Kluyveromyces lactis: one gene and its partners. The protein of the gene in region 1 interacts with the protein of each later gene in a pairwise test. Links are inferred from orthologs where the notes say so. Each region holds a gene or a part of one and is shown on either strand. Other genes may lie near its edges.

The links.
Region 2: the proteins of IMH1 (region 1) and ARL1 interact in binary tests that used the Saccharomyces cerevisiae proteins (3 or more experiments, as listed by UniProt). The link is inferred for Kluyveromyces lactis from reciprocal best matches to the Saccharomyces cerevisiae genes IMH1 and ARL1.
Region 3: the proteins of IMH1 (region 1) and RUD3 interact in a two-hybrid assay, tested with the Saccharomyces cerevisiae proteins (2 studies listed by BioGRID, with this or other methods). The link is inferred for Kluyveromyces lactis from reciprocal best matches to the Saccharomyces cerevisiae genes IMH1 and RUD3.

Annotation. Positions count from the first base shown.
Region 1 is NC_006039.1:1,501,345-1,509,796, reverse strand, and holds IMH1 (Imh1p), read right to left. Parts: upstream 5,457-8,452; coding exon 3,150-5,456; downstream 1-3,149. Other genes in the region: DPA10 (Dpa10p), read right to left, coding at 401-646; KLLA0_C17226g (uncharacterized protein), read left to right, coding at 2,092-3,060; KLLA0_C17182g (uncharacterized protein), read left to right, coding at 5,932-8,064; serine/threonine protein kinase ATG1, read right to left, coding at 8,343-8,452. UniProt on the Saccharomyces cerevisiae protein: Involved in vesicular transport between an endosomal compartment and the Golgi apparatus.
Region 2 is NC_006041.1:2,191,563-2,198,715, forward strand, and holds ARL1 (Arf family GTPase ARL1), read left to right. Parts: upstream 1-2,991; coding exon 2,992-3,543; downstream 3,544-7,153. Other genes in the region: TYR1 (prephenate dehydrogenase (NADP(+))), read left to right, coding at 1-1,134; UBS1 (Ubs1p), read right to left, coding at 1,367-2,098; KLLA0_E24795g (ABC1 kinase family protein), read left to right, coding at 4,413-6,221; KLLA0_E24817g (uncharacterized protein), read left to right, coding at 6,313-6,546. UniProt on the Saccharomyces cerevisiae protein: Recruits golgins such as IMH1 to the Golgi. Can bind and hydrolyze GTP. May be involved in trafficking events within the endosomal system.
Region 3 is NC_006040.1:587,004-595,062, forward strand, and holds RUD3 (Rud3p), read right to left. Parts: upstream 5,527-8,059; coding exon 4,138-5,526; downstream 1-4,137. Other genes in the region: STE4 (G protein subunit beta), read left to right, coding at 1-596; KLLA0_D06809g (uncharacterized protein), read right to left, coding at 706-1,272; KLLA0_D06831g (uncharacterized protein), read right to left, coding at 1,831-2,592, 2,701-2,709; AIM41 (Aim41p), read right to left, coding at 3,218-3,775; RFC1 (replication factor C subunit 1), read left to right, coding at 5,910-8,059. UniProt on the Saccharomyces cerevisiae protein: Involved in the structural organization of the cis-Golgi and in vesicle targeting/fusion stages of ER to Golgi transport.

The DNA of each region.
Region 1 (8,452 bases):
AGCATACACAGTATAGAAAAGTGAGTGAGTGATAGTAATTATATATAAGTAGGCGTGTGTGCGTGTGATTATTACTCAGACTCCGATTCTCAAGTAATAAAAAGGGGGAGGGTAAAAAAGAGTGTGATATGGGTAATATACCACATTAGCATAAAATAAGGTTCGAAGGAAAAAATTGACGGACTTCATCATCATAAAACAGATGTAAAGAAAAGTTACTTTATTCTTCCAAAAGCCAGTTTCGAAAGAACGCCGTAATTAAAAATCCAATTAAAAGAACAATGCGAAAACTTCTTCATCAGCTAAATAACGGTGTGAAACGAGTGTCAAATTTTAACCCAGAGAAGTGAAAGCTTTATGATTTGTGTAGAGGTAGCAGTCATAAGCAGAGAGGAAAATCTTATACTCTCACGTGATCAGAAACAGTAGCCACTTCATCGGAGTCCGAACTGATAACAGTTGGTCTTTGATCTTTTATGTCAGCTTTCAAAGCCAAAGCATAGCTGTATGCGTTAACGGATGGTTGTGTCTTGTATTGTAAACCCAAAGTATGTAGTTGTTTTGGGAAAGTTGTAGATTTGATGGTTTTCTTTGGAATGTAGCACTTAGAAGAAGTGTTTAACAATTTAATAGAGTTGGTGAACATTTTTTCTTGATAGTTTTGTGTGTAAGTGATGCTTTTTGATGAAATCTGTTGCTATTCAATAGACTTTTGATTGATGAGGTGGGAGTGAATATAATATACAATATAAAAGAACAACAGATGACATCCATAAGTTACAAGACACTCAACTATGAACCAGCTCCTTATATATATTTTTCCTTGAACCAAAGATCCCACATGTTCTTTCCAGGTTTCAAGGGCCATTGGCCGTAACCTGATTTTGTAAATAGATAAGGGACATTGGCCGTAGAGTGGGTAATAAGAGTAATAATAATAATAATAATAATAATAGTACTAATATTTTTTTATCTTTCGTCCAGACCAATAATTAGTAAGGCATTTCGACGTATCGAAGCAAACACCTTGAAATCAGGAGATCCAAAGCAAAAGAAGATACTTTAGTCCATTGTTGGATTATGCACTTTACTATGAGTAGTTACGTTACGTGATTATCTCTGATCCACTTTTTTTTTTTTCTCTTTCTGTCCTTTTTGGCTTTTCATAGTGTCGTTTAAACGGTTTCTTCCCCATTCATCCGCGCTTCCTGAAACTTTTTAGTGTAGGGTCTGGGTGTTTCACTACTTCGTCCGTCCAATATCCGGGTAACAAGAATCCCTGCCATGTTTTCTTGACACAATTTGTCCTATAAAGGAAAAAGGAGACCGGCCGATTAACATAGCTGCTACAGGCTGGTCTGAGAGGAAGCCAGGTTCCACCCCCCATTTTCCGGACTTGAAACTCTTTACAGCCGCTGGAAGTTCGATAAGTAGCCCCACGTTATTTCCCCTATCTGTTGGCCTTATTCTCGTTTACTGTACTATGTCAACATATAGAACAATGTTCACTGGGACAACAGTAGAACTCACCGTTGTTTCTGTGGAAACTGGTTCCACTCCCCCCGGTTCTAGAACCGTTTTCAATTTTTCAGCCACACCATGCGGTATATATGATTCTAATTGATTTCATTGGTCAATGAGAGTATGTTACAGGACCAAAGTACGTTGAATAGTGTTCTGAGTCAGAGTGTCGTTTTTCTTAAGTTGTTTTGAGGATGAATGGACTTTCAAATAGGGATCAATGGGGAGGCTGTAGAAACTGAAATCTCAAAACAGAAAAAATAAAGCTTGAATTCTGTGTTTCCGGGTAACAGCGAATGCTTTTGGTGGTTCTGTCGTGTATCCGGGTAATATACTGTCGCGCGTCAGTTCAGTTTCCAAATGTATTGAAACTGTCACAAAAGATAATATGACAGCAGCGAAATATTACTAGCCGATACATCGATCTACAGTGTTTAAATCACCAGCATAAATGGTATTTACGTCCACTAACGACCTTTTTTTTACTCCAATATTACATGTTTAAATAGCAGCAGTACAACCCTGCATAACAATTTACTTAACTTTATCACCAAGTAAGTGTATATCAAGATGGTCTCGACACTCATTTTACTACAATGTTCCGTTGTCTCAATAGCGACTGCATATGCAGCCGTTATTGATACTTCGAATAAGGATCCACTATCTGTAGCTAAAGACAACGGTTTGGCTATAGAACAAGAGTTTAGGTTCCCGATTGGGAGATCACCAAGATCTCAGGCGAAAACTCCATTCCCTGAGTGGTTAACTGCCTTCACAGGTTTAACTGAATGGCCAGGTTCCAATCCACCTTACATTCCGTTGGATTTCATTGATTTCGACAAGATTGAGAAATGGGAACCGTACAAAGAGGGTAGATGTAACGTGAACCCGAGGGAATCGTGCTCTTTTGATTGTCACAAATGTGTTGAACCCGATGATGTTCATTCTTGTGAGAAACTATCTCAAACTTTCGATGATGGGCCATCTCATCATACTTTAACACTATTAGATCATTTGAAGCACAAGACTACTTTTTTCACCCTTGGTATGAACGTTGTGGATCATCCGGAAATATACCGTAAGATCATGGAAAAGGACCATTTGATTGGTACACATACTTGGTCACATCCTTTCTTACCAAGTTTAACCAATGAAGAAATTATTGCTCAATTAGAATGGTCTATATGGGCCATGAACGCGACCGGAAACCATTTGCCGAAATGGTTTAGACCTCCTTATGGGGGGATCGACAACAGGGTTCGTTCCATTGCAAGACAGTTTGGATTACAATCGGTGCTTTGGGATCATGATACTTTGGATTGGTTGACCGTCTCTAATCCTTTCCTAAGATCCGAATCTGATATTTTGAATGATGTCAAATTATGGGAACGCACCTCTTCCGGTTTGATCCTTGAACATGATGGTAACAGGAAAACCGTTGACATTGCAATGAAGATAGATAACATCATTGGGGATGACCAGATGACCGCTGCGGAGTGTTTCAACGGAATCAATTACATTAAGGAGTTCGACATTTGAACCAGGAAAAAGAGAAAGCAGAAATAAGATTGTGTTATGATTGTTACAACTTTATATGTAAACTATAGTATATATTTAGATATAAACTATCATTTCAATGATAGCAATAACCTTTTTTCATCATTACTATCCAATTGCAATAACGTCGTAACAACGGGTAATAACTGATCACGCTGATCTCTGTGTTCTAAGAATCCAAGTAACACGTTTTTTATGTATGCAATCTTTTCATTAATCTCTGATTGTGTTGAACTTATTGGTGATGAAATAGTGTCCTGTACAATAGAACCTGACCTTGATGGATGTGGGCTACTTCTTGCAGATTTGGGTTCTAAGTCCTTAGTTTTACTGATTTGTAACGATAAGTTTTTATAGTTCTTACTCAATCTATCAAATTTTTTGTTCAAATCATTATTTAGTTCTTTGAGTTCAACGTTAGTGTTCATAATCTCCCTTTGTTTCTTTTCACTCTTTACAAGAGCTTCCTTTAATGATTTAACGATTGAATCAAGTTCAGACGTGTCTTCTTGGCTAACATTGTTTGACCTCTTCATTCTTTCAAAAGTGGATTTCAACTCCTCAATCTCGGCTGAATATTGCTCAATCTTTATTAGTTGATCGTGGTTAACAGATTGCAGTTGCGTGTTTTTCTGTTTGAGTTGTTTGAGATCTTGGGATTTTCTAGTTAGTTCCATTTGCAACTCATTCTCTATCTTTGATTTCTCTTCAACGGCGAAATGAAGTCTGCTTTCTAATTCCTTCACTCTATTACTTTTATCGGTTTGAAGTTCATTTAGCATCTTTCTCATGGTAGTAGTCTCTCTGTTTCTCTCTTGTAGAATGTTAGCGTTTTCATTCAACTCGTCTTCTAGAGATAGTATTTTTTTATTAGCATCCTTTAATTTGAATGAAAGCTCTTCACATTGCTTCCTGATAGTTTCCACTTGGTCATTAGAATTTGACTTCAAATTTTGTAGTGTTTCGAGTTTTTCCTGCAGTACTTCCAGTCTCTCACTTAATTTTCCATTTTCTTTGATATAACTTTCTAAGTTACCGTTGTTCTTCTGAGATTCATTCTTCCATTTCGCGGTTTCTTTGTTTAGATTCTCAATTCGTTTCACAAAAGCTGAATTCTCCTTCTTTTGCAGTTCAATTTCGTTCTTATATTCAGATTCTTTGGAGCTATATTCTTTAACCTGGTTTTCAAGGTAATCGATAATTTTCTCTTTTTGTGCTACTGTTTGGCGCAATGAGGATTCATTTTTCTTCAACGATGCAATTTCGTTGTTTAATTCGTTCTGCTTCAACTCATAGGACTTCAAATTATCCGCATTGTTAGACCTCAACGATTCGAGTTGTAGTTTCAAATTATTAACTTCAGCTGAAGCATCGTTCTTGGACTTTAGCTGATCTTGAGCAGCCACTAGATCGTTTCCAACGTCTTTCAACATATCTCTGACACTTTCTAGTTCTTCATCCTTGATCTTAATAGTTTCTTTCAATTTTGCAAGGTCTGCCTTCGTGGACGTTAGTAATTCATATTCCTTATTCAACTTATCGTAATCTGCTTGCAATGTATCTAATTTTACACGGAGAGTAATTGCTTCTGTTATATCTTTAGCCTTTTGATTTGGCTCAGTAGCCGGAGCAGCTGCGGCAGTCTCGGCAGCACCGGCATTAGCATTATTGTTTTGGAGATTATTGTTATTATTAGCCTTCCCCTTTTTTTTCTTCTGGTTCTTTTTTTTTCCTGATGCTGTTGGCTGCGCAGTACTGGATGCTGTATTTTCTGTCGTCTCTTGGGCTGATGTTGCACTGCTACTATCTACTGAAGAAGGTGTCGAAGTTAATTCTTCAATTTTGTTTTTGAAAGAATCTATCAGTTGATCTTTCGTAGAAATTTCCTGCTTTAAGCTAACTACTTCTTTCTCCAAATTCTCCACTGACGTAGTTGATTTATCCAATTCACCCTTTACTTGCTCTAGCTCATGAGTATCTACCTTCTCTAACTCTTGAGATAGCTGTGTATTTTCCAAAGTCAACCTTTTCACTTCGTTATTCAACATATCAGTCTTCTGGTTTACCGTACTGAAGTAACTTTTTAAAGAATCCACGTCAGAAATATCTGAAACTGGCGTGCACTCACTTAAAACCTTTTGAAATTGCTCCACCTTCTCTGTCTTCAATTTCTCGTTCTTATAAGCCTGTAATAACAATGGATATTTTTGCTCATACTTATCGAACTTTCTCAACTTCACTTGAACATCACTGGGAAGATCCGCATACGGTCCTGTTTTATCCAATTGATCTGGATTAATCCCATTGAGTTCCTCGTTCAGACCTTTAGCCAGCTCATCGGTAAGGTTCTTACCGATCTGAGTCAACTGTTTAAACATCCTTTATTTTACTTTACCCTTGTGTGGAGAAACGAAACAAAAAAAAGAAAAATAGCGTTCCCAACAACAATAAAAGACCAAATAAAACAGTCGCAATTCTATCTCACAATATATCACGAGGTTGTTCACAGTTCAGTGACCTGCATATACCATAAAACCGCGTTTTAAACTGTCCTGTTTACGTGTCTAAAAGAATATTTTAACCTATTTCTAATTTCTTACATGTTGTAAAGCTGGAAATTTCGAAATTTCGAAATTTCAAACCAGAAAATTTTCGGGCCCCCAAAAACAATATTTTGGAGGGGTGCTCAATTCCGAATATCTCGAGAGCACTTTTCCTGTATAGAGTATAAATTTACTGAGTTAATTAGATGTGATGGGAATCTTTTAACAGATCATCGAGTTCAAGACTGGCAGGCACTCTCTAGAGGGTGATTTTCATCGATAAGCTAGTCTTAGGTGTCTGTTGTGTGAGATGGCACACTTGAAAAATCATCCCAGACCTGTCTTGGGTGGGATTTTAGCTTGTATCTTGGTACTGGTTTTCTATGAACACTGGACTTTCAGCAGATCGGGCGATGCTGCCAATGGCATAAGTGATGCTTATTATAATTCAAGGTACGGTTCTGGTCCTATAAATTTTGAAGGGAAGAACCAGAATGAGGCTTTTGATTCCACTGAGGTGCAGAAAGCATTAGAAATGGTCCAACTGGCTGATCTGAATGGTGTTGTTAATAATAGCTACAGAAGCAAAAATTCAGGAACTTACCGGTTTGGGTGGGGTAAAAAGTCCTACGCACGAGCATTTGGATCCTTGGAAAACTTTAAAGTGAAATTCGACTCTTTAGCTGGGTCTCACTCTTATACCAAGGCAAACATGGTTGATTTTTGGCAACGAATAAACAGTACTTCGAGGGAGTCTGGTGAACTTTCGCAAAACACTGAAAAAAACATTAATGCATGCATACTGATCCATGTAAGGAACTTGAATCAGCTCTCGACTTTAAAAAGAACCATGGAATCTGTGGAATCTCACTATAACAAGGAGTATCATTATCCATGGGTCATTGTGTCACATATCGAATTGTTCGAGAAGAAAATAATAATGCAGTTGCGCAATATTGCTTCTGGATTGATCGAATTTGTTCACATTAAGGAACCCCTCACAGATCAAGAGTTGTTGACTCGTAATTCTGATGCGGAGGCAGTCACGTCTTTGTTAGATGAATTTACTGCAAAGAGGGAACACAGATTCGAATATTACAGTAAGCTGCAACAACTCCATATAGGAAAATATTTCTCCGATTTGTTAGACAAGTGGGAATTACACACGAAGAAGTATTCAAAACTGTATGATCCATACTCAATCAGTTTCTCTCGCCTTTTATCAAGCGATATTTTCAATTTAGACGCAGTGACTCAGTATGACTATTTTGTAAAATTAGAACCCGGCACTGTGTTCGATGGTGATGTGAGGTACGATATCTTTGAAAGGTTTACAAGTGATTCGAATACTAACGTTGGTATTGTCTTCATGGATAAAAATCTTGACTCAAAGATATCCCAATCTTTCAATGAAACACTGCGTTCTTTGCAAGAAAAGAAAAACATCAAACTATCGCATTATCTCATTGATGATTACAACAATTATAACGGAGTAATTATTGATACGGAAACGTTTCTCGTTGGTAAAACTGCATTTTTCAATACAAAACAGTATCTTTCTTTCGTTCGCTTTATGGATGAAATGAGGTTGAAATTTAATGAACCTTGGTCTGCAAGTGAAATAATGACAGCATATTTCGCTATAGTGTATAGTGAAGCCACTTTCAAATCAGCTTGGGATTCTGAAAAGGAGCTGACAGTTCGCAAAGATCTCATGGTGTTCGATGATTTAGCCGTCAGCGACGTTGGCATGTTTGACTCAAAACTTAAGAATACTTTACTTGGCGAGATAAAACCCGAAAAGTATCTATCAACTAAGCAAAGTTGTCCAATTTCTACATCTGATATCAATGAACTGTTACTACGCAATGTCTTAAATTGTAACTGTGATATAGATAACAGGTTCTTCCATAGTGATGTTGACTCATTTACGTTATTAAGCAATATGACTCCGGAATCTGAATCATCAAGAGTAATCGTCAATGAAACTCTTTTCTCCGAGTTCCATGAACTTATGTTCGCTCAGACGATAAAAGCTCTTTCCAATAATGGAGCGGACAAAGAGCTTTTTGTTCAATTTGAAGAGTATTTCGAGGCGTTCCCTGAAAGACAAGCAAAGGGTTTTGCAGATATCAGAGTTTCGAGGTTAGAAAAGGAAGAACTTCTTAAGGCAGGGCAAGATAAGAGGACAGGAGATTTACTTGCAGAAAGGGTAAAGAAGTTCAAGAAGTTCATCGATGACAAACGGAAAAACACTGATAAAGAATTGAAGGAATTGGACGAAAAAATGAAAACGCTCGAGAATGAGCTTAAAAATGAAGCAGAAAAACGCAGAAAGGCAGAAAAAGAACAAAAGAAGAAGGAAGAAGAGAATCAACGGAGGATTCAGGAAGAACAACAACGTACAAACCAAGGCTCCAATAGTACTATAGAGGTCCTTTGAGCGACATTTGAGTTATTTTGTCAAAAGTTGAAACGCTTTATATTTGCATCTCCCGTTTTGTTTCGTATTTGAAGTTTGGAAATTTTTAATTTGGTATTTAATTTATTATAATAAGTCATTCTATTCATAGATATAATCTTATTTTACTACTAAACGATATCGGTATCGTTTCAAAAAAAAAGTAGTAAGTGTTTAATGGAAAAAACCCTAATCCATATATATATAATCATTATATAAAATGTAAATTGTAAAAAACCCAATCCAAAAGATGATCAATCCTAAACCATTTTGGATTTTAGTGCCTTTAACCTATTAGCAATACTTGAAATGTATTTCTTTATCATTTCCTTATCTGATTCGTCTAAGGAGGTGATATTTGATGCATACT
Region 2 (7,153 bases), on another chromosome or scaffold:
CTAGTGTCAAGAGCTAGTGATTATATCATTTATTCAGTCGAGGCCGAGAATATCGAAAATATTGTGAAGATGTATGGCGCAGCGTCAAAGGTAGGCTCGATTGTCGGAGGACAAACCAGTTGCAAGAATGCGGAAATCAACGCTTTCGAGAAATATTTACCTTCGGACTGTGAGATTGTATCTGTACACTCATTGCATGGTCCCAAGGTCAATACAGAAGGACAGCCGTTAGTCCTAATAAACCATAGAACTAAATCTCAGGAATCATTTGACTTGGTAGAATCTTTGATGTCTTGTTTGAAGAGCCAACATGTTTATTTATCTTACGAGGAACATGATAAAATTACTGCAGATACCCAAGCAGTAACGCACGCAGCATTCTTAAGTATGGGGGTTGCTTGGTATAAGATACGAATCTACCCATGGACGCTTGGAGTCAATAAGTGGCATGGAAGTCTAGAGAATGTCAAAGTGAATATCTCCTTAAGAATCTATTCTAATAAATGGCATGTATATGCGGGGTTAGCCTTAACAAACCCTGCTGCTCATAAACAAATCACACAATACGCTAAAAGTGCTACCGAGCTTTTTACCCTTTTCGTGGAAGGGAAGAAAGATGAACTTACTAAAAGACTTCAAGTCGCCAAAGATTTTGTATTTGGTAACCACAATGGCTTGTTACTATTACACGATCTAGCTCTTGATGATTACTCATTATCAAAACATGAAAAAGGTGAAGATAACGAAGTGATACCAAACTCTCATTTATCTCTATTAGCAATTGTCGATAGTTGGTACCAATTGGGAATTGATCCCTACGATCATATGATCTGCAGTACTCCTTTATTCAGAATTTTCTTGGGGGTTAGCGAATACTTATTCCTAACAGATGGTTTACTAGAACAGACTATCGATGCTGCGATTAACGTACCAGAGTTCAGAGCGGATGATATGGAATTCGTCATAGCTGCAAGGTCGTGGTCTAATATCGTCTCTTTTGGTAACTTCGAACTCTATAAGAGACAATTTGAAGAGGTACAACAATTTTTCACTCCAATGTTTCCAGAAGCAAATGCTATTGGCAACGAAATGATTAAGACTATTCTTGAGCATTCAAAAAGTAAAAATTTATGATATGTTTACGCTTGATAGATTATGTTATATATGTATATATATGATATACAATGATATACATAAGTACTGTGAGAGAAATTTATTGCTAAAACTTCGATACGATCGGAAGATAAATCCTCACATAATGTGCCATAAACTATATAGACGCCATGCATTAAATTAGAAGGATGATGAAAATAGCTTCATTGGATGGAAAGGTGACTAACTTAATAGTTTCAGAGAAAGTTTTATTTTATCGCCTGCGTTTTCTACTTTCTAAAAAGTCACAATCTTCAGAGGTTTCCAAGTTGTTGAGATTCGGTTCTGTGAGTGGACTCACACTCATAAAAGAGCTCAACCCGGTTCTTTGCCTCTTTCCCCTGTATAACTGTTCCGAACAGTCTTCGTTTGTTATGTGGTTATGGGTATCTACCGGGGTTGGGCTTTTACTATGCAATTTCGGGGAGTTTCTTTTTGTATGATTAGGTTGTGACTGAGCCTGCGTTTGCAAATATTCGTTTACCATCTGAACGTCTGTTTGAGTCACCGAGTAAGACTCGAATAGTCGCGGGGAGAAATTCTTGAACTCCTTTACCATAATTCTGTTCCAAGCCATGGCCAATTTTTTATGATAATCGGTGATATTAGTACAGCGACTATAAATTGATGATAACAAATGCTCATAAAAGGAGCACAACCCATAGTTCAGAAGAACAGGAGAGAGATGATTCAAGCAGATAGTCTTATTCACAGGTATGCAGGGATTAGGTGTCAAACAGTTTAATAGTATGATAGGCTCCCATTCGTTCATAGGCTTGTGGCTTATGAAAACAACACAGTAAAGTTCCAAATCTCGGCTTTCGTCATGTAGTACTATATTCCAGAACTGCAAATTTGATTCTTGTGGCTTGATATGGCATGTAGAGTGCTTATAATGGCTCAAACGTTTCCATTCCCTAAGGAGTTTCCTGTACAACGGATGCATCTTATGTGGATGTGGCCTGCTATTTGAAAGAAAAAAAAGTAGTGAAGAATAACAATTATAGGCAATGGAAAAGCCTTTCCAATAATGATATATTACCACACTTAGTTGGCAATATAGTAGTTAAGATATCCAATAATAATCACGTTACCCTTAGCTTTGCATGCAAAGGTATGCAGTCTTACTGTTTTGTATTTTTACAAATCAGATTAATATATTCTATTATTATTTTTCTCTGATTATCATTTTTGATCTACAAATTCTTCATATATTGTAGAATATGTTTATACAGATAGAAGAAGAAAGAAAATTCAGAGCATTAATCAGTACCGGTATGCCTCATGTGAGCTCTCTGCAGTTACAAACTCGCATATATAAAAAATTGAGATTGAACAAAAAAATACAGCGAGGACAATGTGAACGATACAGACTATATACGCAAGTAATTTTTACTATGTCTAATGGGGTCTCTTTGTTTGTTGTTACCCGGCCACTAAAAGGCCAACTACAATTTTAGTGAAAGGAAAATCTCAGGATCGAGTGATTAATAACACACTGCATTGGTTAGGAGTTATGATTTCATTGTATTTAATATTTCACTCATTACAAAGACATTATCTGATCTTATAGTACGAATACAATAAAATTGTTTACACATCAGGAGACAAACTTACCGCTGTCTGGATCGCTGTTTATTCGTTTATTTGTTTCGAATTTTGGCTGTAACTGGTTCTCAAATAAGAAATATTTTGAACAAGTACTTCCTAATTTTACATATCAACTAGTACAAAAGTTTTGGTTTTAAATTATTAATTGACTTATTAATACACCTTTTCTTTAATTACCAACTACCTTTGAATTGACCGCAGTACAGCAATTACTTATAAAATATCACAATGGGTAACTTCTTTAGTTCTATGTTTGATAGACTATTGGGTGCGGAAAAAGAATTACGTATATTGATATTAGGGCTTGATGGTGCTGGTAAGACGACGATATTGTACAGACTACAGATAGGAGAAGTGATAACTACAAAACCTACCATTGGTTTCAATGTAGAGACGTTAAATTATAAAAACTTGAAACTTAACGTGTGGGATCTAGGTGGACAAACTTCGATTAGACCATACTGGCGTTGTTATTACGCAAACACAGCAGCAGTTATCTTCGTTGTTGACTCTACAGATAAGGACCGTATGAATATAGCTTCGAAGGAATTGCACCTCATGTTGCAAGAAGAAGAATTGCAGGACTCCGCTCTGCTCGTATTTGCCAATAAACAAGATCAACCAGGCGCATTAAGTGCGTCAGAAGTATCAAAGGAGTTGAACTTGGCAGAATTGAAGGATAGAAGCTGGAGTATTGTTGCATCCAGTGCCATTAAGGGCGAAGGGATAACTGAAGGTTTGGATTGGTTAATTGACGTGATTAAGGAAGAACAAATGTAATTGTAGAAGGAATTGAAAACTGCATGTTTTTTAGTGCTTCCGGTCCCATTATATTTATCTACAACTGAAATGCTTTTTTAATTTGACATGACCTAAGATAGTAATAAAAATAAATGACAAAGCTAATAACAAAGTTAAAATTCGAATTGTTTACTTCCTGCCGATGCTGGCGTAATGTCCTATTGAATTCCTTTACACGCTTATTTCAATAGACATTCAATTTTCCCATGCATTTTTATTTCATCTCCAAAATCCTCCACTATTTCGTTTACGTTTGCGTATGCGTGATATAATGTTTTCTCCTATTCAAACCATTCCATCGTGCCCTAGTTTCATTATATATATAGCATATTCATAATTCGCATAATTAAGCAGTCATTATACCATGCAACCACGAATCCTTTAAATGGAACATGGTCTTGCCAACTACCACCATATCATTCAGTATATGATGTATTACTTCGCTCAACGTAAAAAGGTAAATCTCTTTGTTATATATTACAGGTGTACATTACCCCCTCGACGAATATCATATACTGGAAACAAATACCAAAAGCGGTACCTCTTTTTGATTATTATTTGCTATAGTAATAACTACAGGCATATAGCAAAAAAAAAAGTAACCGTTATAAAGATCGTGAATTGAAAAAAAAGTGTGTGTTATTAAAACGATGACAACTTATAAAAAGGTCAAGGGAGGCAAATAACTCAGGCCTGTTTATCATTCATGTTATAAGTATATGAATTGGTACACTTAGGTTTGAGGTTTTGTCAATTGGTCTTTTCAGTATAAACTCCGATTTGTCATTTTCAGATTATCTTTAATTTTGAGACTGTCCAGTTCATAGGTGGGTGTAAAACTTAGTCCAATGAGGTTTTACTTTAATGCGTTCCGCTCTAGAGTGAACTCCAGGGTGTTTTTCCTCAAAGGTTTAAGAATTACACCGTTTCTTCTGTCGCCTATAGTCCCACTTTCGATGCAATGGTTTAGAGGACCGTTATTGAACAATTCAACGGCGCTAATACCCGATAAAAAAGGGGATACTTTCGAGATGGGCTTATACATTTCTTCACAGAAGCAATTACAGGAAGAAGCCGAAAAAGAGCGTGAAAGAATTATAACTACTAGTGTTATGCCCAGTTTTTTTAAGAGGATTTTGTATCGCATCAATGATGTTATTATAGAACCGGTTTTAACATTGCTTCGATTTCTAGAACTTTCATCCATATTCATTCCGTTGTTAATAATATATCCAATTACATGCCTTGGACATCATAAAACGCTAAAGGTTGATTCGAATAGAGTTGTGAAGGAGACATCAGGTTCCCTTTTGTGGTTTAAACTTCTAAGAAAGGCTTTAGAATTCGCTGGTCCTACATTCATAAAATTAGGTCAATGGGCAGGATCCCGTACTGATATTTTCTCCGAGGGTTTATGCGCAGAGTTGGGGCGCCTACACAGCAATGCTAAACCTCATGCGTTGAAATTTACAAAAGAAGCCATTGTTAATTCCTTAGATAGGAAATATGAGTTCGATGATATATTTGATGAATTTAACGAAAAACCTGTTGGATGTGGTGCCATCGCCCAGGTCTACATAGGAAAGTTAACTGAATTAATGATGAAGAACTTTGATATTAAAACGGATAGTAGGTATTTTGCAGTGAAAGTGGTTCATCCAAACGTACCGAAAAAGATAGACCGTGATTTAAAAATAATGACTTTCTTCGCCGATATGATCGACTCTGTACCCACCATGGAATGGTTGTCCTTACCAAATGAAGTGGAGCAGTTTTCCATATTGATGAAGTTGCAACTTGACCTACGTATAGAATGTCAGAACTTGCAGAAGTTCAATGATAATTTTGCTGACAATCCAAGAGTAAAGTTCCCAGTCGGCGCTATGGATTTATCTTCTCGTTATGTACTTTTTGAAGAGTATATTCACGGATTCCCAATGGAGAAATTTTTATCGAGTAAAGATGGTTTAAAGAGAGTCGACCTTTGTAGAAAAGTCAGCGATCCATTTATCGAGGCTTTTTTGAAAATGTTGATTCTGGATGATTTCATTCATGCAGATTTGCATCCGGGGAATGTCATGATTCGTTTCATGAAATTGAATAAACAAGAAACAAAGGTAGTATCTTCTGAAAAAGAAATGTTTCAAATTGTGCACAAGTTAAGAGCAATGTCAAGAGACAACGACCCTGAATTCATTCCGGAGATGAAGAGAGTATTTGAGGAATATGAGCCTCAGGTATGCTTAATTGATGCAGGACTTGTTACCGAGTTGAACGATCGCAATAGAGTGAATTTTATTGCACTATTTAATGCGTTGGCCAAATTTGACGGTTATCGAGCAGGTGAGCTAATGATCGAACGTTCACGTACACCAGAAACTGCGATAGACAAAGATTTATTTGCATTGAAAGTGGAAAAATTAGTCAATAAAGTTAAGAAGCAAACATTCACTTTGGGCACTGTGTCAATAGGAGAACTTTTGGATAAAATGCTAGGAATGGTAAGACAGCATCACGTAAGAATGGAAGGTGATTTCGTATCTGTCATTGTTGCTATTCTATTGTTAGAAGGAATAGGTAGACAGCTTGATCCTGAAATGGATCTCTTTGCAAGGTTCGTATTATTTGTCTTAATGAATGGATTTTCATCCACTTGAAGCTCTTGGTCTCAATTTACTAACACCAAAATTTTACCCATATACCGGAAAAATATTGTTCATATTTTCATTGCTATGTAGACTATGAGCGATGCGTTTTTTCCCGGTGCTCGTGTATTTATTCAGCTCACTACCATTTTTACGTAAGTTCGGAATGAGCAGAGCTCATGATTTAGCCGGCGGTGATTCCAGCATGCTACAGGATATGAGTTCGCTATCGATGTTAAAGATATGGCTAGGGTTAGAAATTCGTCAATTGATGAGCATCTCTTCAAAACAGATATACGAACTAGTAAAAACGGATCAATTGTGTCCAAATTACTAAGAAAAAATGGTAATAAATGGAGAATATTCCAATTCTCTTAATGCATAACGAGGATAAACTTCCAAACAATAACAGTTTTGTTGTATAAAAGAAATAATTTACCTGACAACTCTGATAAACCTACCATAAGTTGATTAGTTCAAGAAAAAATATAGCTAACGACCCCTAAAATAGTCACCAATAACAGCGGTGAAAAATAAATATACCAGGGATTAATTAAAAAGAGCCCTAGCTGAAGCCCATCATGACATATTTCAAGATTACTTTTCATAATGCATGAATTCTCGTTTCCCGTAGTTGGATCCAAATTCCGAAGTATTTAACTGTCAAACAACAATAATGACGCAGAAAGCAATCGATCTTTTGCAGAGACGTTCCTTTTTTCCTAAAGATTTCCGTGAAATCTCTCGGGAATATGCCACGTCTTATCGTCTAACTCACCATCGGCGACTGTCTCTCAGTTTGATTCGAGTAAGCAAGGCGCGGAAGGCATGAAAAAACTGGTAAGTATTTACTATTTATTACATTCCTTATGTCAGCGTGTATTAAATCGTATTTCTTGCGATCATCTTTGCGTTCTACAAGACATCAACAAACTCTCTTTCAC
Region 3 (8,059 bases), on another chromosome or scaffold:
GAGGATCGGACGGGTATGCGTATCTATGGGATGTTAGACAGCCGAATTCAGCCCAAAGTTTTTTCATCAGTGATAGTGATGTTAGTGCCATCAAATTTTTCAACAATGGAGAATCCTTCATGGCGGGTTCAGATGATGGTAGCGCTAGGTTATTTGACTTAAGAAGTGATTGTCAGATATCGACGTACTCATTTTCAGACGGTTTACTTCAGCAGCACCAGCTTCAACAACAACATCATCCTCATCCTCATTCTCATGCTTATTCTCGTATTCAAAAAAATCGGTATGGCTCATCCTCTTCTTCAACTTCGTCTTATCCAATTGTAAAAACACCTCAATCTTTGAATTTCAAGGAAAGTTGTATCGAAGATCAAGGAGTCATATCAATAGATTTCAGCTCTTCTGGTAGATTGATGTACGCTTGTTATGCGGATTACGGGTGTGCAGTATGGGATATTATCAAAGGAGAAATGATTGGCAAAGTTGATGGTCATCGAAACAGAATAAATGCCGTCAAGACGAGCCCTGATGGAATGGCAGTAGTGTCTAGCTCATGGGATATGACCCTAAAAGTTTGGACACCGGTTCATCAGTGAAATGATGAACTGAGAATGGTAATGCATATCGAAAAAAGCCGCAAAATAGCCCTTATAATACTACTGAAACCGCTCAGTTTGGCTCTTGTTCATCGCAGTAAGTGAAACTTTAAGATGCAGCTGAGGAAGCCTCCACCAACCTGCAAATTTTATTGAGCAGCTGGTTCGGAATTTGAGACAATAATATTACAATGTCATCCTCTTGATGACGTCTCTTAGCAATTTCTTCAGATACCGGAGGAAATGTAACAATTGTATTAATTACCTTTTGAATAGTATCAACATCAGATACCGATATAAGATTAATAGCCCTTTGTAAGTTTGTAACTTGACCCAAACTTATTTCATCTTCATTGTAAATTGGTACACTGCCAGAATTTAATAACTCTTCCCGCAGTTTGGTTTGATGGTAGGGAAACCTTCCCTCATAATCAACATTGTACGCATTATTATCGAAGGATAGTTCGTGATGAAAAGTGTAAGTTGTCGAGCAAAATTTGACCTTTGCTATTATCTTTAGCTCAAACTCACCCCAACCTTGCTCATCTAGGGTGAAGGGAGGTTCCGTGAGTTTTCGTAGTGGTCGTTCAAATGTGGGATGAAGGTGATAGGTAACATAATCAAATAAGGTGGCCGGTTGCTCGTTTCCTTCTTCATCTAATATAAATAATTGCATTCTCCATTTCCTTGTCGGCAGTTCGTAGACTTTAGGAGCATCTGGTAAAATAATTTGTTGAGTTTTGACTCTTATTGTTCGAGGAACGTAAGGCTGATATGTTTGTAAACAACCACTTGTTAGTGACAATGCTGCTAGTGACAAACGTTATGGCAATATTAGATTAAAACATACCATTACAAAATCTTTTTCCATTATGTTAAGTGTTGACTTGATGCCAATACAGTTTTCTATCGACGGCTTGCGGACCGTTGTGCTACAACAATAGTAAAACATAATGGAGTATTGTGATATGCTATCATGTAGAATTTGATTCAAACTATTATTTTTTTCAGAGATAAGCTCATCGGTAGGAGGTCGACAATAATTAAAGTCAAGTCCAAGGGCGAATTCAATCAAATATTTCAGTGCAATTTTCCCTAGGCTTGATTTGTCTATTCATTATAGTGTTCATTTGGTACTTTTTCTGCAAGCAGTGCCTGTTAGTGGAGATGTAAGTTATAAAATACAACTACATAATTGTAATGGTTAAATTAGATAAACATGTGAGAGGTCCGGTTACTCGGTGTTTTTCTTGACGTATTCCCATAAACTCTTCAATAGACTTTCAGGCAAGCTATATAAATCAATAACGAACTCACCTTCTTCGATATTGTTCGTAATATTCATTTCTGGAGTTTTGTTATCAGTTATCATTTGTACTACTCCAACCAATGTATCCTCGTTTAGTTTTGTTAAGCCAAATGCTAACTTTTCCAAGTTCACAGAGCCTTTCACTGTTGAAGCGGAGGCGGTCTTGGCTTTTTTCGTTTTTACATCACCATTGACAGTAGATGCTTTTCTCTTGTCACCTGGAGTGGTGGCAGCTGTCGCTGTTGCATTTGGAGTTGCTGCTGCTGTTGATGCTACTTCATCGACAGGTCCACTTTTCTCTAGTTCTGCTCTTAGAAGAGGCTTATTGGTAGGAACTTGGATTACATGATCAATTTCATAGGCATCTTTCATGAAATGTAGGTCGTGAGTTATCTTCTTCTCGCCCCCTTTCTCAAGAAGATGCGCACTTATCAACAATTCAAAGCCACCCCAGCCTTGTTCTTCAATTCTAAAAGGAGGTTCCGTGAATGTTCTATGAGGGTTTGCAAAAGTTGGATGCAAATGATACACTACCTTATCAAATATCGTGGCTGGAATTTCGTTTCCTTGTTCATCCAAAAGAACTAATTCAATGGTCCATTGACGCATAGGAAAGTTTTCTACTGGAGGTGGTACATCCGGTAGGACAGATTGCTTGGTCTTAATTCTGACCGTTCTCTTCACAGTCTGTTTCCGAAATATTGAATAAAAGGTCTGTTAGTAAACTCATTGTGAAAAGAAACCTTCTAAAAACGAACTGAAGAAGCTTTTCAGTCTTTTTTAATCATTACATACCGACACCATCGTTGGTTGATTTGATTGGGGGTTATAAGCACGTCTAATGTTTCTCTTCTGGATATTTTCGTACTTGTAATTGCCATTATTTATCTCTGAATTTGAAATTTAGTCAATTCATGTTTTCAATGTTTGGTGAAATTTAGAGGAAGTACTACAATAAGGTGGAGGAAGGCAGTTGAAGATGCATGCAAGAGTTACGATTATGCTATTGTGGAGAGAGCAAAAGACTATCATGTCCATATTCTCCCCACTTAGTAGTTACCAGAGAGTATTGGTTACTATGTTTTATCACGTGATCTGGCAAAGCATCCTAGCGAACAACATGGCTTTATCAGAAGTCTTTAGATAGAGAATTGTTCACGTGAGTCAAATCCATTGCTGCGGCTTGATATTGCATAATTGTAAGTACATTTATTTACGGGATTGATGTGCCTACTTAATCACAAGGGCGTCATTCATCGGAGTTTTTTTTTTAATGAATGACTCTGTACAAGTTTGGTTTTAGCTAGGTGATTTATTGGAACACTTTCTTAAATTGAGAGCTAATACTGGACCTGATAGCAGCTGGAGATGCCTTCAATTCGCCTGGTAGTGTTTTCCAGTCAATTTTTCCGAAGACCTGCTTCAATTGTATAGATGGCTCTGATTCTTTTAGATCTGTTAAAATCTGCACAACACGAGCGTCTACTTCCTCCCTAGAAGCAACAGGCAAGGCAGTCTGATAATTCTCGAGGATCTTTATCTCATTGGCTTCTTTCTCTACCAAATCTTCTCTCTTATTTTTAACAAATTCAGCGATGGAGTCCTTCCTTTGCGAGATTAACTTGGCGTACACATCATACAATACAAATTCATCTAGATCCTTATCCTTACTGTCAATTTCCTTGTTCTTAATTGTAGATAGTACACCTCTAATGGTTGTCTTTCTTAGGTTGTCTTTTGCAAGCATTGCCTTCTTCAAGTCTTGTTTTAATGCAGCGATCCCATCAATGTAGCCTTGAGAACTGGCAAATCTAACAAAGGTTCTGGTCGTTGCAGTAGCGCGAACGCTTGGGATAACACATCTTAACATCTTTGTATTCGCTAATGATTTGGATGCTTGTCTTGAAGATTGAACCAAACGATCAAGATTATAGAAGGTCTATTAAATGTAACGTTTCTTTGTATTTGTTCATAGGTGCCGGTGTCTTTTGGGTTACTTGAATTTTCATAGAAATTATCATCAAGATGCAATTTTATTACCGTTGATCGGTTAAGTAAAAAAAAATATTCAGTGCAAGTCGCGCTTTTCTTTAAGTTTGTTCCAGACGGCTTATGATATTTGACTGGATTAGTGAATAATTGAACTAACTTAGTCTATATATTTATGTGTTAGAACGTTTATAGTACAAATCACTTTTAGAAAGTTTCTGCAGGATGACAGCCAAAGCGCAATCACTTCTCGCTTTCCTTTTCTAGGAATTCAGTCCAGAGAGAAACGAAATTCTGGGTTCGCGATTCGGAGTTTGTATTGCTCATATTCTGAATGAGACCAGCTTGAGTCTTTTTATCGGTGTCCCAGTTAAGGAAACTTGAAATTAATTCCAAGACTTCAAATTTCTTTGGATCACCTCTTGGGATAGTAACAAATGAGATGAAAAGGTTAGATATCAACTCTTTGTCGACACTTTCAGAATCATTGTTTTGCTTTAGCATCGCTAATGCTTTTGTTAGATGTTCATTTAATATGATAGCCTCGTGGCGTAGTTTTCCTATCTGTAGAACTCTTTCTTTCACCTCTCGTTCAAATTTCTCCTTTAATGCTACATCTTCACTCATGGACGCTACTTTTGCCCTCAAACTATTGATTTCGGTAGCTTTTTCTTCATTATTTTTCGTTAATTGTGCTATTTCCTCGGTGAATTGGTTGACTTCTGTTGTCCGTTGTTTGGTTAGAGTCTCAATAGTAGTGTTGTTATCATTTATTTGCTTTTCTAAATTTGACATTATATTATCAAGCTGTTTCTTAGTTTCATCACTTTGTTCTAATTGCTGTTTGTAGTCAGCTATCTGCTCTTCTAAATCTCTTTTATCTTGTGCCTCATTGTTGATGATAATTTCTAAATTATCGATCTGAGATTTTAAGCTTTTGACTTCAGATTTAAGACAAGAAGTAATGTTAGACTCCTCGTTAGATGCCTCGTTCAACTTAGATTCCAATTCTTTGATTTTGGACTTGAATTCTGAACATTCATTACTCAAATTTTCACATTCTTTATTGAGATTGACGATTTCATCATTCAAAATAGAAATGGTTTGCTTGTCCTCTTGGATTTCTGAATCAGCAGATTTTAGCTTCTGTTTTAAATTTATATTCTGATTCTCATACTCATTCAACTGCTCACGAGTGTTTTCCAGTTCCTGTTGAGCTTGCTTCATTTGACTGAACACGGTCTTCATAGATGAGATTTTACTCAAAAGAGTGTTATACTTCAATTCGTACTGATCTCTTTCCTCTTTAACACGCTGTAGATCGTTCTCCTCAGAATCACTGTGCGGTTCTGCCTCTGCATTAGAGTTTGTTGTGGCTTCGTGTGATTGCTGTTCCTCTGGTTCAGGTTTCGATGGCTTGTCATCTGTTTTCACAGTAACAACCGCTTCCACAGTTGACTGGTCAGCACCATCAGAGTTTTCTAGAGAATCATCCGGTACCGCGACAGCTTTAGCGCCATCATTTTCAGGAACCACTTCTTGGACTGGCTCTGTAGCCTTGACATCTTTTGCTGAACCAGCAGACTTTGATTTATTGTTACTGTTGTTGCCCTTCTTCTTGTTCTTGGCCATTTTTTTTCTTAATGCGGTCAGATGCCAATTGCTGTTTGGGAGCCCCTAATTTTGACAGGAACAACTATCCTTGATCTATGGGTTATATGCCAAGGTCACTTCGGTACTCTAGATTTATACGTTGTGCAGATGAACAAGTTGTAGAAAGCCAATTCATTTCTTTCGATAGTCTATATACGTCAACATCGTTCGTTTTTCTTCAATCTTTAAACCAACAATTTAAATGTTAAAATCATAGAAAACCAGGAAAAATACCAGTAATAACGAGAACATCGCTGATAAAACAGAAACTGACAAAGCGTGAGTGTCGGATATAGATGTGTTAGAGGGTTTTCAGTGTTATCTGATTCTAGTGTAATAGTACAATTGAAGTGGTGTCCGAGATGGGAGACATAACGGATAAATTGAGAGCTGCAAAAAATAAGAGGGCAGGGCACGGAACAAATCATGCTTCACCCAAGAAGCCCAAGAAGGTCAAGAGCCAGGCTGCTGAAACGATTGACTTGGATTTGGATGACGACGAACTAGAATTGCTGGCGTCACAACCGAGAAGAAGCCGGAGCAATACTACCGCAGCCGATGAGAAAGAGCAGTCACCTGCAAAGAAACCAAGGATAAGTGAACCTTCATCGAACGGATTGACTAAACCAGACGTTAGTAGGGTTAAAAAAAGCGATTCTCCGCAAACTGTAAAAGAGCTTTTAGACTCTATACCTTCTGTTGATCTTGATAATGTTACGACGAAAGAAGCCACGCAGTTTTCATGGAAAGGTGCAGGAGGTGATGGTTCTGGTGCATCCAGTGAATTGGAGATCCCAGAGGGTCAAGCAAACTGTTTGCTCGGGCTAACCATTGTATTCACAGGTACTTTGCCTAATCTTGACAGATCTACCTCAGAAAATCTAGCAAAGAGATATGGTGCTCGTGTCACCAAATCTATTTCCAAGAACACATCCGTTGTTGTGTTAGGGGAAGAAGCAGGACCTAAAAAGCTCGAGAACATCAAGAAGTTGGGTATAAAGGCCATTGATGAAGAAGGGTTCAAGAGACTAATTGCAGGTATGCCTGCAGGTGGTGGTGATAACCAACAAGCAGACAAAGCTAGAAGGAAGTTACAAGAACAACAAGAACAAGCGATGAAAGAAGCTGAACAAATGGCGAAGGAACAAGAGGAACGTGAAAAGAAGGATAAACTATCGGTGGGAAAAGATGTCAATCTTTCAAGTAAAAGTACTGTTACTGAAGACAGTAAGTTATGGACCACGAAATATGCGCCTACTGATTTAAGACAACTTTGTGGTAATAAAGGAGCCATCCAAAAATTGAAAACTTGGTTAGAGAGCTGGAGTTCTGGGAAAAAGCCTAGTATGAGAGCAGTGATGTTATCAGGTCCACCAGGTATTGGCAAGACGACAGCCGCTCATTTAGTGGCGAAATCTTTGGGATATGATGTTTTAGAGAAAAATGCATCTGACGTTCGTTCCAAGGGTCTGTTGAATGCCAGTGTCAAATTTGCGTTGGATCATAAATCAGTCATTGGGATGTTCAAAAGCATATCAGATGACCATTACTCTAAAAATGGGAAACGTTTTGTAATTATCATGGATGAAGTTGATGGTATGAGTGGAGGTGATAGAGGTGGTGTGGGACAGCTTGCGCAGTATTGCAGGAAAACCAACACCCCTATGATTTTGATCTGCAATGAGCGTAACTTGCCCAAAATGAGGCCATTTGATCATTCCGTCTTGGATATACCTTTCAGACGACCAGATGCACAAGCTGTTAAGGCCCGTCTTATGACAATTGCGATGCGAGAAAAATTTAAACTCGATCCTAACGTTATTGATAGACTTGTTTCAGTTACTCGCGGTGATATGAGACAAATAATTAATCTCCTATCAACGGTTACTACAACTTCTAAGTCCATCGGAAGCGATAATATCAAATCGCTGTCTGACAACTGGGAGAAGAACGTCGCTTTGAAAATATTTGATATCACACCCAAGCTTTTGAGTGGAGGCATATACACAGAAAATGGAGCCAAGCAATTTCCATTATATAAGAAAATGGAGTTATATTTTGACGACTTTGATTTTACACCTTTGATGATACAGGAAAACTACACCTCAACAACACCTACTTTATTAAGAAAGGGCCAAACACATCTAAATGCTGTTGCTGCTGCTGCCGAATCTATTTCAGAGGGAGACCTTGTCGACAAAAAAATTCGTAGTGCCGAGCAGCAGTGGTCTCTGTTGCCTCTACATGCTGTCTTATCAACTGTAAGACCTGCCTCAATGGTCGCCGGTAATGTTACCAGAAGGATTAATTTCTCGGCCTTCCTAGGGCAGAACTCTAAGACGGGTAAATTTTACAGACTTTTACAGGACATTCAGTATCACACAAGGTTGAGCACTTCTACGAATAAAATGGGATTACGTCTACAGTATATGCCAACAATGAAAAGACATTTACTTGACCCTCTTCTTCGTGATGGTTCTGCCGCGATTGAGAATGTTATTAATTTCATGGA